2 linked regions of the Diceros bicornis minor genome follow. The protein of the gene in region 1 purifies or fractionates together with the protein of each later gene. This does not show direct contact. Links are inferred from orthologs where the notes say so. Each region holds a gene or a part of one and is shown on either strand. Other genes may lie near its edges.

Region 1 (7,007 bases):
CCATCCAGTCATCCCACTCATCCTTCTGCCATCTCCCAACTCATCAGTCCACCAGCCATCCACCATCCTTCCACACAAACCTTCCATCCACCCACCTCTTCCTTCCTCCTTCTCTCCACTCATCCCCTTTCCCACTTCGGCCCATACTGACTACCATCCCACAGCACCCCCTGTGCCAGGCTCAGACACGTGACACAGCGCCTTGAGTCCCACCTCCTTCTGTCCCACCACACGGCGGCCAGGCCCAGCCCCTGCAGGGCGGCCATGATCACGTTGACATCATAGTTGCCGGTGCCCAGGAGGCTGCGATGGGGGTTCAGCCGGGAGTCTGGGGCCAACCTGGTTGGGAAGTGGTCGGAGGCTGAGTTGGGGGCCCCTGGAAAGGCCTCACAGTCCCCACAGAGCAGGAGAGCCCCAGGGTCTGTGAGTCACCCGACCTTTGGACTCTTCCCTCTCTTCAGCCCCCACGATTCCTCGTGCCCCCGACTCTCTCTGCCCTGTCCTCCAACCACTTCTCCCTGCTCAGGCCTGTCCTCCACCTGCACCCTCACCAGCCTCCAGTCTCCCCCTCCAGTCCACCTCCCTCAGGGCCTGGGGGCTCCTCCTACACCCAGTGCTCATCCGCCCCTCCCCTGCTCCCAGCCCTGCCCATCACCTCAGGATAGAGTCCCAGCCCCTCAGCCTGACCTTCGAGGCCCCACCTGGTCTGGTCCCTGCTGGCCTCCGTCCCACCCCACCCCTTCCCAGCCACCTGTCCCCAACCACATCTCCTATGCTCCTGCCTCCCGGCCCTTCCTCCAGCTGTCGGTTCCCGAGCCCAGGAGGCCCACCCTGTCACCACTCGTCTCTCTGGGCCCTGCCTCTTCTGAACAAGGGCACCTTTGTTCTCTGTCTGGGTTCTTGGTGGGCAGGGTGGGGAGGGGTCGGAGAGGGGCAAGTTTGTGTATTATTTTTCTGTGTATCTGTTTCCCTGGCCTCCCTCAAGGCAGGGCTCATAGTAGACTGATTTCTGGGTCTCCAGCGTGGCCTTGGCATGAAAGAGTTGATAGATCCCTGTTTTGAATGACAGGAGATGAATAAGTTCTATAGTAATCAGTCTGAGGGGTTGGGATGCCTGAGGATTCTGAGGGGCCACGGGAGGGCTGTGAGCAAGAGAGGCGGAGACAGGTCATCTCTAGGTGTAGGTCATTGGGGGACTGACTGGAGGGGAGAGACTGGAGGCCAAGGGGAGGGCCCAGGAGTTGATGGGGCCTGAGCTGGGGCTGGGGCTGTGGGGACAGAGGCGGGGATGAGGCGGAGAGATAACAAAGTGATGTTTGACATCTTGAATAGAGAGGAGAAACGTTCCAGGCTGCCAAGAGGAGGAAGCCGTGCCAGACAGAAAGAATGGCCCGTGCAAAGGCCCAGAGGCATCATAGTGGGGCTCATTCAGGGACTGGAGAGGAATTTGGTTTGAGGGGAGCGGCGGGATATGAAGCTGCAGAGGGAGGCGGGGACCAGAGCATGCAGGGCCTTGCCTATCAGGCTATGGGGCTTGGGACATCTCCTAGGGGTGCGGGGGAGCCACAGGAGGGCTGTGAGCAGGGGAGGGGCAAGGTAAGCGCTGGGTCCCTGTGTGGACTGGAGGAGAAAACTGGAAGCTGGGAGGCTGGAGAGGAGGTGGGGACAAGGAGGGCCCAGATAAGAGAGGGTGGGGCGTGAGCTGGGGCTGCGGCGTGGGGACAGATAGGTGCGGAGGCTACAGCTCCATCTCTGAGTCCCCAGGTCCAGCCCAGGTGGGTGATTGGGCCAGCAGAAAGCCCCCGGGCTCTGCCTCTGCCTTGCTATGAGACCCAGGTGGGTGGCTTGGCCTCTGTGAGCCCCGCTTCTCCAGGGGTCAGGGTGGGTGATGGTCACCTCTTGCAGATCTCGTCGGCAGCCTCCTGGGTAAAGAGCTGCTGCTGCAGAACGTTGTTGAGGGCGTGGATGGCACACAACTCCAGGCGCTGCCGTTCGTGGTACACGGAGGGTGGGCTCGGCTGTGCTCCTGGGGCCTGGGACATGCCGTCCTCAGCTCCTGCTTAGGGGGCGTGGGGAGAAGGTATTCGGGGGCCCGGGATCTGGAGGCCCAACCTGCCAGCAGGCCCTGGGGGCACTGCCATTGGGGTGGGGGCAGCCTGAGAGGCCACTGCACCCCTGACCCTTCTCCCTGGGTCCTTTCCTGGCGACAGGGTACCTCCATCCTCTACTCCCAGGAAAAGGCTCTCTCTTTGGCTCACCTAGCAACAGAGGACCATCCCCGCTGCATCCCTAAGTGAAAGGGTCCCTATGGTGGTCACCTAGCAACGGAGACACCCCTCCTCCCCTGTCCCTAGGTAACAGGCTCCCTCTCTGGTTACCTAGCAACAGAGACCACCCCCCCCCAACTAGGTAACAAGTCTCTTCTCTGGTTACTTAGCAATAGAGGGAGACTCCTCCCCTGTCTCTAGGTAACAGGGTCTCTTCTGGTCGCCTAGCAACAAAAGACTCCCCTCCCCTGTCACTAAACAACAGGATTCTCTCTTCCTGTCACCTGGCAACAGGGCCCCCTCCCCGGACACCAAGTAACAGAGCTCTTTCCCCGGCCTGTACCCCAACCGCCGCGCTCGCCCGTTGCCTGGCAATGCCCCTCACCCCGCCTGCCTCTCTGCTCCCCCGAACAAGGGGCTTCCGCATCCCCCTGGCCGGCGGCTCTGAGTTCCGAGTGCGGGCCTGGCAGCACCACTCTGACTGGGCAGACGGGACGGACTACAGCTCCCGGCGGCCCCCGCGTGCTGGACTACGACTCCCGGCCCCCCCCACAAGAGTTTTCGCTCTGCTCGGATCGTCTGGGCAGCGTAACGCGGAAGTCCGCTCTTGCCCCAAGAGCGCGGAACTACAACTTCCGTCGGCCCCTGCGGTGAATCCCGGAACTCTGCGGTACAGAGGCCCATCCCTTCGCGCACTACCACGCCGCCTGCTGCTCAGAGGGTTCTGGGAAATGTAGTAGGTTCTCGCGATAGTTTCCAGGAGTGTTGCTCCCATGTGTACCCGCCCCCTACGATAGCGTCATGCCTAGTGTGAGGATGAAGCGTGACGTCACAGAAAGGCAGATAGGGACCAGACACCAAACCGTGCTGGGAGAAGAGCCTCCAATATTTACTGGGATGGGAGGGAGATCCAGGGAAACAGAGGCCAGGGCAGCAGCGGGACGGTGATGGGGAGGTAAATGAGGCGAGGAGGTCCTCTCGGGAAGGAGGCGGCTTCTCAGCAGAGACGGATCCCCGGCCTGGAGGGGAGCTGGCAGCAGCCTGCGGGGGGATACGGGGAATGAAAGGCTGAGGCAGAGAGAGGAGGAGACACAGATACCTGGAGGAAGGGACAGAGCAGGTGCGGGTGGAGGAAGCCCTGGAGAGAGGGACTGAGACCCAGAGGGGGACAGAGACACACGCAGAGAAGCTAGGGTCCCAGAGTGAGGGGGACACAGAGACTCAGAGAGAGGAGACTTGGACAGAGAGAGAGAGAGAGATGAAGATTCAAAGTAGTGGAGTAGAAGGTTAAGGAGACTCAGAAATAAAGATCAATTAACAGAGACAGAATCAGAGCCGCCGAGCACCGGAGCCCAGGCACGGGGAGGGCGCCGCTGGCACCGGGGAGGGGCCTGGCCGCACCCAGGAGGCTGCGCCAGAAGGCGGTGACAGTGGCAGAGCCCGTGACAGCGCCCGGCTCGGCGGGGTTCTCCCTGTGGGTGTGCACAGCAAAGCTTCGGCCTGTGGGGCCCGGGGGTCCGCGCAGCTCCACGTCCACCACATGCATGTCCGTGAGGCTGGGGCAAGCAGAGTGGTCAGTTTGGCCGGCCCGGCCCCAGCCCCAGCCCCCGCTCGGCTTAGCTCACCTGAGATCGGCCACCAGCACCCCGATGACGCCGTCGAAGCCCAGGCTGGGGGCGGCCAGGGCGGCGGCCGCCATGGTGTTGGAGTTGCGGGGGGCAAAGGGGCAGAGCCCGCGGACAGGGCCTTCGTAGAGCAGCGTGCGAGGCCCGGTGCTGCGCGCTGCCGCCAGGGGTCCCTCGAGCCGGAAGCCGTCGGGGTGCGTGGCCATGGTGACACGGAGGCTCTGGAAGTGACAGCTGGGGTCAGGGGGTCTGGGGTCTCTGCAGGCCCCTTCCGGTTCCCGGGGAGCCCACTGGGCCCTCACCTGGAGGCCCCCTGCTGCGTCCAATCTGGTGATGTCCTCCGTGCCCCACAGGGCCCCCCGGGCCACAAACACAGCGTGGTCCCAGCGGCGCGAGGCCTCCAGGAGCTGCTGCTCCGTGGCCGGGTCAGCCAGGGCTGAGGGGGACCCCACCTGGGGCGGATGAAGTGGGGAGGGGCTGAGGTCAGGGGACCGATCCCACTGTAGGGTGGGTTGGGGCCAAGGCGGAAGGGGCAGGGCTCACCAAGAGATTGGCATAGCGCAGGATTTGTGCCCCAGATTCCTGGATTATTTTGGGATGGGCCACTTCCACCACAAGGTCAGGGTGCCTGGGAGAGGGAGAGATGGGGGAGGGCCTTGGAGCATATTAGGCCTCCCCTCCCAGGTTCCCTCAGTCTGTAGAGACCTGGCACTCTTCCTCCTGGCCCAGGAGGGGAAACAGGGTGGATGGGCCTGTCCCATTTCACGTTTGGGTGAACCAAGGCCCAGAGAGGGTAAGGGACTCGCCTGAAATCACACAGCACCCAAGGGAGGCGAGAACAGGAGCTTCAGGCAACCCCACTCTTTCATGGTGAGGTCACTGACCTCTCCCCAAGGGCAGCGAGGTGCTGGAGCTGCAGGGAAGCGGGCACGCTCCCTGTCATTCGTGCTGGGTCACGATTCCAGACAAAAACAAGTTCTAGGCCCACTTCCGGTCCCTGAGTCAGCAGGTGGGAGACAAGGGACTGTCCTGGGGAGAGGAAAAGAGACTCAGAGAGAGGGGACAGAGACCCAGAGAGAGGGGACAGAGACCCAGAGAGGGGGGCACAGGGACCCAGAGAGAGGGGCACAGGGACCCAGAGAGAGGGGCACAGAGACCCAGAGAGAGGGGCACAGAGACCAGAGAGAGGGAACAGAGACCCAGAGAGAGGGGGACAGAGACCCAGAGAGAGAGGGGGACAGAGACCCAGAGAGAGGGGGACAGAGACCCAGAGAGAGGGGACAGAGACCCAGAGAGAGGGGGACAGAGACCCAGGGAGAGGGGGACAGAGATCCAGGGAGAGGGGGACAGAGACCCAGGGAGAGGGGGACAGAGACCCAGAGAGACGGGGATGGGGACCCAGAGAGAGGGGGACGGGGACCAGAGAGAGGGGACAGAGACCCAGAGAGAGGGGTACAGGGACCCAGAGAGAGGGGGACAGGGACCCAGAGGGAGGGGGACAGAGACCCAGAGGGAGGGGGACATGGACCAGAGAGAGGGGACAGAGACCAGGGGGGGACAGAGACCCAGAGGGAGGGGGACAGGGACCCAGAGAGAGGGGACAGAGACCCAGGGAGAGGGGGACGGGGACCCAGAGAGAGGGGGACAGGGACCAGAGAGAGGGGACAGGGACCCAGAGAGAGGGGGACAGGGACCAGAGAGAGGGCACAGAGACCCGGGGGGGGGGACAGAGACCCAGAGGGAGGGGGACAGGGACCCAGAAGGGGATGGAGCCCCGCGGTGGAAAGTGGAAGGTGCTCAGGCAGACAGGGAGACAGGGCACAGATAAAGACAGATGAAAAGTGTGTTTGTGGAGGGCACAAGGGCTTTTGGGGGCTTCATGATGGGGCCTGGGGAAGAGGCCCCAGACAGTCAGGGACTCACCGAGGCGGCCGTAGCCCACCACCCCCACCCTCCGCGGGACCCTGTCGAGGGCCATGCCCTTGAGTCTGCTGGTCTGCTGTCCGAGCTCTGTCGGCTGCTCCCTGCTTCCCCCCCCCCCACCCCTCGAGGCCTGGACAGCGGCTGATCTTTGGACGTTTGACCCTTGAGCCTGTCCAGAACTTTCCCCCCTCCCTGTAGTGCCGGGAAGTGGGGGTGCAGGTTTGCTGCCTGGGGGCGGGGTGAGCATCCTGGGGGCAGTGGGCACGATGATTCGGGGTTCCAGGGGCCCCACGTGGCCCCCACTGTACCCGACCTGGTCCTTCTCTGCATCACGCCCTCCTCCCTTCCTGCTGATGTGGAAAATTTCCTCTGCAGTCCCCCGCCCCCCTTTCTGGCTGGCCAGGTTGCCATGGAAACTGCATCCTGCTTGGGGTGGGGGTAGAGACGGTTGGGAGTGAGGGAGAGGTGATGGTGGCCGGGACTCTGGGTTCTCAGTCTGTCCCTTGCCCCTGGGTTTCCAGTCCCCGCCCTGGTGGCCGCTCCCCCTGTGCCTCGGCACCTGTGTTTCTTGTCAACATTCCTCCTCCGTGTTTTCTCCCTTCTCTGTTCCTGTCTCTGATCTTGCTCTTGCCCTGTTGCCGTCTCTCGGCTTCTCCCTGGGTCTCTGGCTTTCCAGCCCCCGCCCCCATGTCCTCCGGGCTGGCTGCCATCCTGTTCCCAGCCAGGCCAGGCCTGCATCTCCTTCCTACCCCGAGCTCCGAGGGAGGCCTGGCCTGTTCGTGCCCCGTCTCTCCACAAGGCAGCAGGAGCGGGAGTCGGGCTCATCCTAGCCTCAGCGGGCCGTCTCCGCAGCCCTTCTCCAGAACCTCCCTCCCTCCCTCCACCTGATCATCCCTCAGTTCACCTTGACTTCCCACCTTTCATCCTCCCTCCCCCACCACGATGCGCCCAGACACCCCCATGTTGCATTCTCGCTCTCACACCCATCCCTCCCCTCTCCCCACCTCCCTTCGGCTGGGAGAAGCCTGCAGGGCCTGGGGAGGCCCCGAGCGCCCCCCAAATGAGCCCCCCGCCGCTGCGCCTCGCGGGTGCCTGGCATGGGAAATGGCGGAGGCTGCGGCAGTGCTGGCTCCCTGCCCCCAGCCACCACCTGGTACCCGCTGCAGCGTTGCCATGGCAACCAGGATCGCAC
Region 2 (8,011 bases), on another chromosome or scaffold:
AAGCCCAGAAAGACCCAGGGTTCCAGCAGCCAAGTTGGTAGCAGAGTCAAGACTTGAGGCCACACATCTCCGTCTGCCCAGATGCCCGGCTTCCCTCCACACCACACAGCCTCCCCATGAGTCAGCCATCACGAGTTCCGGGCAGTGGACCTCACACCCCCTTACAGCAGAAAGGTGCCGTCCCCCTGGCCCTGCTTACAGCCAGGACAATTGGCCCCACTGCTAACATTTTTGCTCCTTCTCTCTGGCAGGACCTAGTGCTGTGACCCACCCTTGTCTGTTTTGCTTGAAAGCCATTCCCACTCTGACTCCTACCCCGACACACTCTGTTTATACTGCATTAAGTTGGAAACAACTCATGCCCAACAATAGGAAAATGGGTAAGCAAACTCCTATGGCAATAGGATGGAACCCTTGGGAAACAGTGACAAGGACAAGTACGTAAACAATGTCCACATGTGGTACACGTGCTTTCAAAACACTATGATTTGATCAAACTGGAACACAAAATGACATATACCTACTGATCACAGGTATGTAAAAGTGAGTTTCTGCAAATTGATAAGAACCTGAAGTGAACTTAAAGAGATTTTTATCTTCACGGGTTTTTCTTTCCTATAAAGATTATGTTCAAAACAATAATAAACAGTAAAATGCATAATAAATAGGATCATAATAAGCACAGGAGGAGGCAGAGAAGGAGGAGGAGTCTTTCTAGGCCCTGGGGGACGGCCTATCTTCTCAAAAGGGCTGGAATTGAATACAGGGGAGGGAAGGAGGCTGGAAGTGGGGGAATGAAGGAGCTCAGTGGGAAGCAGGAGCCAGGCATGCCTGGGGAGCCAGCACCAGAGGCGCAGAGGTGCAGCTGGGAGCCTTCCCCTTGGGGAGTCCCTCAGGGACAGCAGGGCAGACCAGCAATCTGGACTCGTGCTCCAAGGGCACATTTCACATCAATTACAATGTCAATGGTGCCTTCCAGAGTTGTGCAACATGGCGGTTCTGGGACAGAAAGATAATGGGAGGGGGTCTGCTGGACACAGAGCCACTGAGCTGTTCACCTGTTTCCATACTTCTATTGTCACCCAAGATCTCCTGCAATTTTTCTGCACCATTCATTTCGGAGGACTAAAGTGGGGCCTGGCCTACAGGAGAGCACAGCCTTGCTGCAGGGTGCTGGGGGTACCAGACTGGCAGGGAGCAGATGGTGTGAAAGGCTCCAACTTAGGCTCCCCTGGACATAGGGCAGCACACTCCACAGACATATCAACCTCAACATGTCTTAAGCTGACTCCTTATCTCAGCAGCCCCTCCACCCAGACCTGCCTCTCCTCCCGTGTTCCCCATCTCGGTACATGTCACCACCATCCAGCCACATCTGGCTCCAGCTTCAGCTCTCACTCTGCTCTACTTTGTACCCTGTGTCCCACTCACACTGAAATGTTTACAGTTCCCATAACATGCCAAGTTCTCTCATTGCCCTGCCAGGCTATGCCTTCAGCCTGGAATCCCTTCCTTACCTCGTCCAGCTGCTTAACTGTCAAGAGTCAGGTAGAGCAGCATCTTCCTCTATGAAGCCTTTCCTGCTCATCCCCATCCACCATCCCACCCACCTTACCCTCCACCATCTGTCCCCACGTAGACATCAGTACTTCATTCCTCTCTGTTGTCCCAACATCCAACACTGCTCCTTCTTCAGCATTCAATGTATATTTTATGAATAAAAAAAAAAATGACTGAATTTGGAGGGTAAATTTTAGGGTGGATTTGATTAATAAGATCAAGCCCATGTGTGGTACCCTTTCTAGAGCAGGGTCCCCTCTGGTCTCTAAGCCCTTCGGAGACTTCCCCTGACCACACACAATAGGTGCACCTGTCCTTGGGTCCCCGCTCTTCTCAAACACTGGCCCCTGGTGGCTTCTCTCATCTGTGTGTGGATTGTGCTGTTCAGGGGAGTGAGCCCCGACTCATCCACCTGACTAAGCTCAGAGGCACTGCGTCTGGTAGGTGGGTGGGTGGGCTGAAGACAGGTCATTTCTTGGCATCCATGAGAGGCAACACCTTAGCTGGTCCATGTGCAGCCATCTAGGAGTGGTGGGGGCAGCGTGCAATGGTTCTCACTGATGTTATGTCATCACACTTTCTGGCTGAGTGAGCTCTTTGATCTCCAGTCACACACAATGGGAGCAAGGGCAGCCACTCATGTCCTCTGCAGCAAGCTGGTTTCCAGGAATGCCCTTGGCTGTGGCCTGACATGAACCACGTAGGCCTGCTGCCTTTCCACCAGGGCAGGGAGCGCTGCCCCTCCATCCTTCCAGTCTAAGCACCCCGACTCCCCTAGGTCAGCCTCCCCAAACCCACCTTGGGCCAGGCACTCACGTAAGTGGAGTCACACCTTCTGGTCTCCTTCTTGGCTCAAACTGTGAAGGTACTGCTTCCTCTAGGCCTGGCCCTGTCTTCACCACCCCCAACAGCAACAGCCAATCCTGTGAACGTGGTGATAGGGAAAACCTGTTACTTTGGTTCAGGAGTAAAAGAGAGGCTGAACTTCAGTCTCCAGGAATCTCATAATCTGAATACTAACATGCACAGCATGTCCTGAGAGACAAAGCTCTCAGACAATGGAAGTTTTAAAAATCAAATCCAAAAGACAAACACACCCTGCTTCCTTATTTTTAAATAGGCTATCCTAAGTCACATGTTTTCCTATTCAAGGAATGTGGAGTTTTCACCTCTGTTCCAACTCGTTCTGCCTCTGTTCTCTGAGCAGGCAGCTCTGATCCCTGGACTCTGACAATAGTTCAGGCAAACCCATAGGATGAAAGCTACCTCAGGCCATATGTCCAAAGAGTCCTGGGTGGGCAGGTATAGCTCTGGGCCCCGGCTGGGAGATGAGGAGAAAGGTGCCAGTCTGGCACCCTTACAGATGAATCCAGCATTCTGGTTCCCCATCTCTCTGTCCCTTATGCTACAGGAATACCCCTGAGAGGGAAGTTGAGGGGCTTGAAAGAGTGGGCAGATGAGAGAATCCTGACAGTTAAAGACCAGGATCTGCAGAAGTGTGCATCCTACCAGGCACTTCCACAGCCTGCATCAAACAGATGGCCTCATGGGGCTGGAACATGGGCTTCTCTGTCTAAGACTTCTGGAGCCCCACAGGCAAGTATTTCACATACTTCCCAACTTTGAACATAAACCAGTGGGGAAAATATCACTTCAAACTACAACTTCTTTCTTGAAAGAGTTGACCCTGTCAGAGACCTGGTAGGTTTCTGGATATGAAAAGGTGGCCTGGGGAGAAATTTAGGAAAAGGGCAGTGGGAAGACTTGAATAGTCAGCACCGTAGAGAAAAATCTGGCTTCCCAGAGTTACTCAAGGAGGGGAGGATGAGGTGGAGGGATGGGAAGGGAATAAGAAGAGGAAGCTAGATTAGATGGCAATGGGCTAGGGATCTTTGTGGGGTGGTGCGGCCAGTGAGAAATCCTGGGTGACAAGATAGCCAAAATAACTTTTCAGAACATTTTAGAAATATGACTTTAAATTGTTTGCTGTGTGATGTAATCTCTCCCCTGTGGCCCACAAACCTTCATTAAAAGTTCTGCTACATGTTACGGCATTATTTTTGTGGTTGTTTTGGAATAGGGGTGGGGGTTAAAAGGAGAAGGGGCTATGTTCCATATTTGAATTGACAGCAGGAACTAAAGAAACAGCTACAAAACCAGAATAGCGAACAAAACTTCAGATGAGGCAGAAAATTAGAGCCAGAGGTAACCATGAAAATCTAAGTCCCCCCAGTAATTCACAGAAATCCTGGGGAGGGCATTGGACTTTCCACAGGAAATGGGAGTTGGAGCCAACGTCGTTCGAATCTCAAAGGACAAGCTACCTCAGCTGACATTAGGTTGCAAATACGGTTTGAGTCTTCGGGTGGACAAAGCCTTGCAAAACATAAAACGTATCACACTCATCTTTACTATCCAGGGTCTAGCACAAGAACAGTACGTAGTACGGCCCAGTAACAGCATGTACATGGTCCATGAACGCCCTGGTTGCCGCACTGGGAGCTGGCAGAGTCTCGTGCTTAAGGGGCGGGGTGCATGGAGCAGGAAAGCCATTCAGGCTCCTCCACCCCCGCCCCTCATGCTCTCCACCCTCTGACCCATTATCCCTATGCTCATGGCCGACAACATCAGCTCTGCGGCCTGAAGGTCTTGTAAACAGGCAAGGCCCAGCGGAGACGGTGGTGAAGGAGGTCACAAAGGGTCGCGCAGAAACCACACAGCTTGGAATCTGTTCTGCCCACCCTTAAGTCAAAGAGGCAAACACTGCCCCTTGGGAAGGGGCTTCTGGTCCAAAGGGCCTGGGGTGGGGGCAGTGAGTGGGCTGTCTTGGGCCCCGAATGTCACCTAGGACTGGCTGTAGGATGTGTCGTGTGGGACTCTGGTCTTTGCTCCCAAGCATCCCCCTCACGCTCTTCCGAGATCTTGCCCGAAAGCCCGCAGTCCCAAACGCCCCCCCCCCGAATTACGCGGCACCCTTGCATGAACCACGCGCCTCTCACAGGGCTGATGGCGCCACCTGGCGGCGCAAAGGGTCAGGCTCACGCTGGGAGCTTCAGCACCAGCGAGCTGGGAGGAAGAAGGGGTGGCTTCGGCGGCCCAGTCCAGCGTGGTGACGTCATGACAGAGCGCCGTTTCTCCCCGCCTCTTCCTCTTCCCCGGAGCTGCCAGTACTTGACGTGGCGTCACCTTCCTCTACCCTTACTTTGCGTGCGTGTTTGCGTGCGGCGGAGGTGGTGGCGCGGACCGGTCAGAGCTCCGCGCTGCTGCTTCTGGTGCTCTCGTCGCCGCCGTTGCTGTTTGGCTGTCTTGGACTGCGGTGCGAACGCGGCACGGGTCACAACTCCTCAGCCCCGGACGCAGCTCGGCGCGGGGCCCGGCGGGAGGGTGGGCGAGCGCGTGTCGGAGGGAGCCGCGCGGGCGGGCGAGCGGGCGCCCGAGAGGGAAAGAGGCGGGGGCGGCGGGTCAGCCGCGGGCCCGGCCGGCCGGGGGATGTCGATGCCTGACGCGATGCCGCTGCCCGGGGTCGGGGAGGAGCTGAAGCAGGCCAAGGAGATCGAGGACGCCGAGAAGTACTCCTTCATGGCCACCGTCACCAAGGCGCCCAAGAAGGTGCGGGGGCTCTGAGTGGCGGCGGAGGCGCAGGCTGGGGCCTCGCGGAAGGGGCGCGAGCGAGCCCGGGGCTCCAGCTAGTTCGGGACTTCGGGGCAAGGTTCGAGGTGCCCCGGGACGGCCGAGGTGGTGTGAGGGGCGGGTGAGCGGCCCCAGACCTATCCCGAGCTGTAAAGGCCGCCCCTGACCTCACTTTCCTTTGTCCCTCGGCCCTCGGGATCTTTTCGAAACCCGGCAGGGCTGGGCCTTAAATTTGCGGCTGACTTTTCCTGGATGAAAGGTCTCCAAGACGGGAGTGGGAGGGGGTGAACCAATTCAGTGGATCTCTGTGACCAGCCCCATGGGATGGAGGTGTTCAGAAAATCTCCCCTCGGGCGAGTGTGTAAATCGGGTAGAGCTGCTTCGGGCAAATCTTTGGAAGCGGTGGCCGGTTTATCCAACAACTGCGTGCTAGCTTGGAGCAGGAGGGAAAAAATGCGTGGAGCTGGGTCTTTTATGCAGGTGAAAGCAATGAGGACAACATGCGATTCAAAAGAAAACTGATTTTCACCTTTTACGGTCGTCCAGTTGCTTCGACATATGTGAGAAATTAACCTTTGGAGGTTGGTGACAGCAGACATTGTCATGGATACAGGTTGATCGTAGTCATGTGCATAGATCACTTAGGCATCCCCTGAGAAAGGAGCTTGGGTGGGTTGGAGGGGTGGGTGGTAAGGAACGATTGCTCATTCTTTACTGCACTTACTGAGGCAGAACAAGTTTAGTCTGTTGTGCTGGGGGTTGAGCTCAAAGGACGCCCTTCTAATTCTCTTGTGGAAAAATAAATGGCAGCCTTTGGAGGTTTTAGTCTAACTAGTTCTCAGAGTGGTGGAATTGGGATTTGTAGTGCTTTCTGAGCATTTGTTGCCAACCACATCTTGACTTGTGACATACCTGGCATCCAGTTAACAATAGACCAGAGAACCTTTGCAGAGACGTGACCTTTCTGAAACCAGTGAGAACCTGGATAAATATTTCCCTCCTATATAAAGACAGAGTGTTTCAAGGCTGTCTCTCTCTGCCTGCAGTGTTTGATGGGAGGCAGTGCTTCTATAAGCTGAACAAAGCAGGGTTTGCAGGAGTAGTTACAGTCTTGGAGGCTCCTGCACCTGAGCTCGTTATGCTGTCATAAGTGGGAGAGATGACTTTTTTTTTTTGAAAATTAATCTACTACTCCAGAAATCAAGTGCAGAATTGAAAAGACAGGTCACCATCGTGTGCTTTAGCTCTGTTTTGCCACAAAATTAAGCTCTTACCAATAGAATGCCTAAAAAAAGGTTATAGAAGATCCCTTGGTTCTAAGAAGTCTGATTAACCTTATTTTTAGTGCTATCAGTTCAGCTGACTGCTTTGTTGGGGCAGTAACCCTTTGTAACCTGCATTATTTGGAGATACAGTCTCAGCCTTTATAAGCAGAAGGCTTAAGGGTAGTACCTGTGATGAGTTAGGGGGAAGAATGGGAAAGCCCTGGTACCCTAATCCCCTGAACTCATCCTCTCCCCATTAGCCTGTCCTCTTTTGTCTAGTTGCTTCAAGAATTAGGTGTTTTTATTCTTACTTGCCTCTATTTTAGTAAGGCTTTATTCTTGGAAGTGCCACTATTAGTAAGACAAAGTTTGTATTGTAGATTGTAAACTCAGTAAAGGCAGGGACTCGTGTTCACCATTGTATCCACTCTGCCTAACTCTGTACCTGGCATACAGTAGGTAGTCAAATATTAATTGCCCACCTGGCTAACTAGTAATTTGTCTGTATGACTGCCTACCAGGAATAAGTATCCCTTTTCCTCTTTTCTTCCCAGGAGGAATATTGCTAATGTGTACGATTGTCAGGCCAAGTGGGAATGATTTTAGAGACTCATATCCCATTAGCTGAAAGAAGCAGTTTTTGCCAGGAATGTGGGAAGACCCTGTTGTAAGTTTCCATTTGCTGGTAAATGTACCGCCGGGTTTCTTATTAATCTGCTCCTTCTGAGCTTTATTGTTTAGCATTTACGCAGCACTTTGTATTAAACTGCTTTATGATGACTAATTACCCTTTCCCTGGTGATGATAAAAGGCATTTATTTAGTTAATGAGTTGGTTGAGGACTAGTCAAGGTCACGTAGCAATTCCTAGGTGATCTGTTTTTTCAGAACTTCAGCTGAATTGGACATTGTGTTTCAAGTCACTTTTGTACCTCTGCCATGTACTGATACTGTGAGAAAGCATGAAAAAAGTAAGAGGAAAAATGTAGCTTGGCCTGTACTGAATGGTGTGAGAAAAAGGCCTCTTTAAATGGTGCCGTCCTTCACCTGTGAGGATTCCAGTGTGGTTCTAGACCAAGTAATCCTTGGATCATTCCAAGCCCTAATGCCCTTCAGGGAATGAGGACATTTCTGGTGCCAGTCAGGGTGACTTGGATAGTCCTTAGATCAGATTCCATTGTAACTGGTGAAATTTTATTCACTATGTTTGGGGAAGCGTGATGTCCATCAATTAGAAGCAGAGATGTTGGGAATCTTCAACTATAACCATAACTTATTCAGTTTTGTATACCCCAGGGTCTACCACAGTGCTATGTAGGTAATAGGATTTGTTGGTTTGATTCAAGGCTTGATCTGGTTGTCAAGAAGCCATCTAAATGGGTACCACCTTAAGCAAGTGAGCTTCTATGCCTCAGTTTCCTCATCTGCCAAGTAAGTGCTTTTTGTTTGGAATAGGCGCCTGGCATATTGGGAGCTAAGATAGCAAAAGTGGTTTTTAAAAAGAAGTCTATTAGTATACTTAAACTCTCTCTTTTTAATGAGCATTTGAGATGGCTT

What was found. The genes of interacting proteins can lie anywhere in the genome.
Region 2: the proteins of JOSD2 (region 1) and AHCYL1 purify together in Homo sapiens (affinity purification with mass spectrometry; 4 studies listed by BioGRID and IntAct, counting the BioPlex papers as one, with this or other methods). This does not show direct contact. The link is inferred for Diceros bicornis minor from reciprocal best matches to the Homo sapiens genes JOSD2 and AHCYL1.

The regions. Positions count from the first base shown.
Region 1 is NC_080773.1:25,679,495-25,686,501, forward strand, and holds the start of JOSD2 (josephin-2), read right to left. Parts: upstream 3,016-7,007; 5' UTR 2,653-3,015; intron 2,060-2,652; 5' UTR 2,043-2,059; coding exon 1,897-2,042; intron 340-1,896; coding exon 214-339; intron 1-213. Other genes in the region: ASPDH (aspartate dehydrogenase domain-containing protein), read right to left, coding at 3,565-3,823, 3,893-4,113, 4,195-4,344, 4,436-4,520, 4,777-4,975, 5,816-5,870. UniProt on the Homo sapiens protein: Cleaves 'Lys-63'-linked poly-ubiquitin chains, and with lesser efficiency 'Lys-48'-linked poly-ubiquitin chains (in vitro). May act as a deubiquitinating enzyme.
Region 2 is NC_080743.1:43,022,517-43,030,527, forward strand, and holds the start of AHCYL1 (S-adenosylhomocysteine hydrolase-like protein 1), read left to right. Parts: upstream 1-4,998; 5' UTR 4,999-5,049; coding exon 5,050-5,169; intron 5,170-8,011. UniProt on the Homo sapiens protein: Multifaceted cellular regulator which coordinates several essential cellular functions including regulation of epithelial HCO3(-) and fluid secretion, mRNA processing and DNA replication.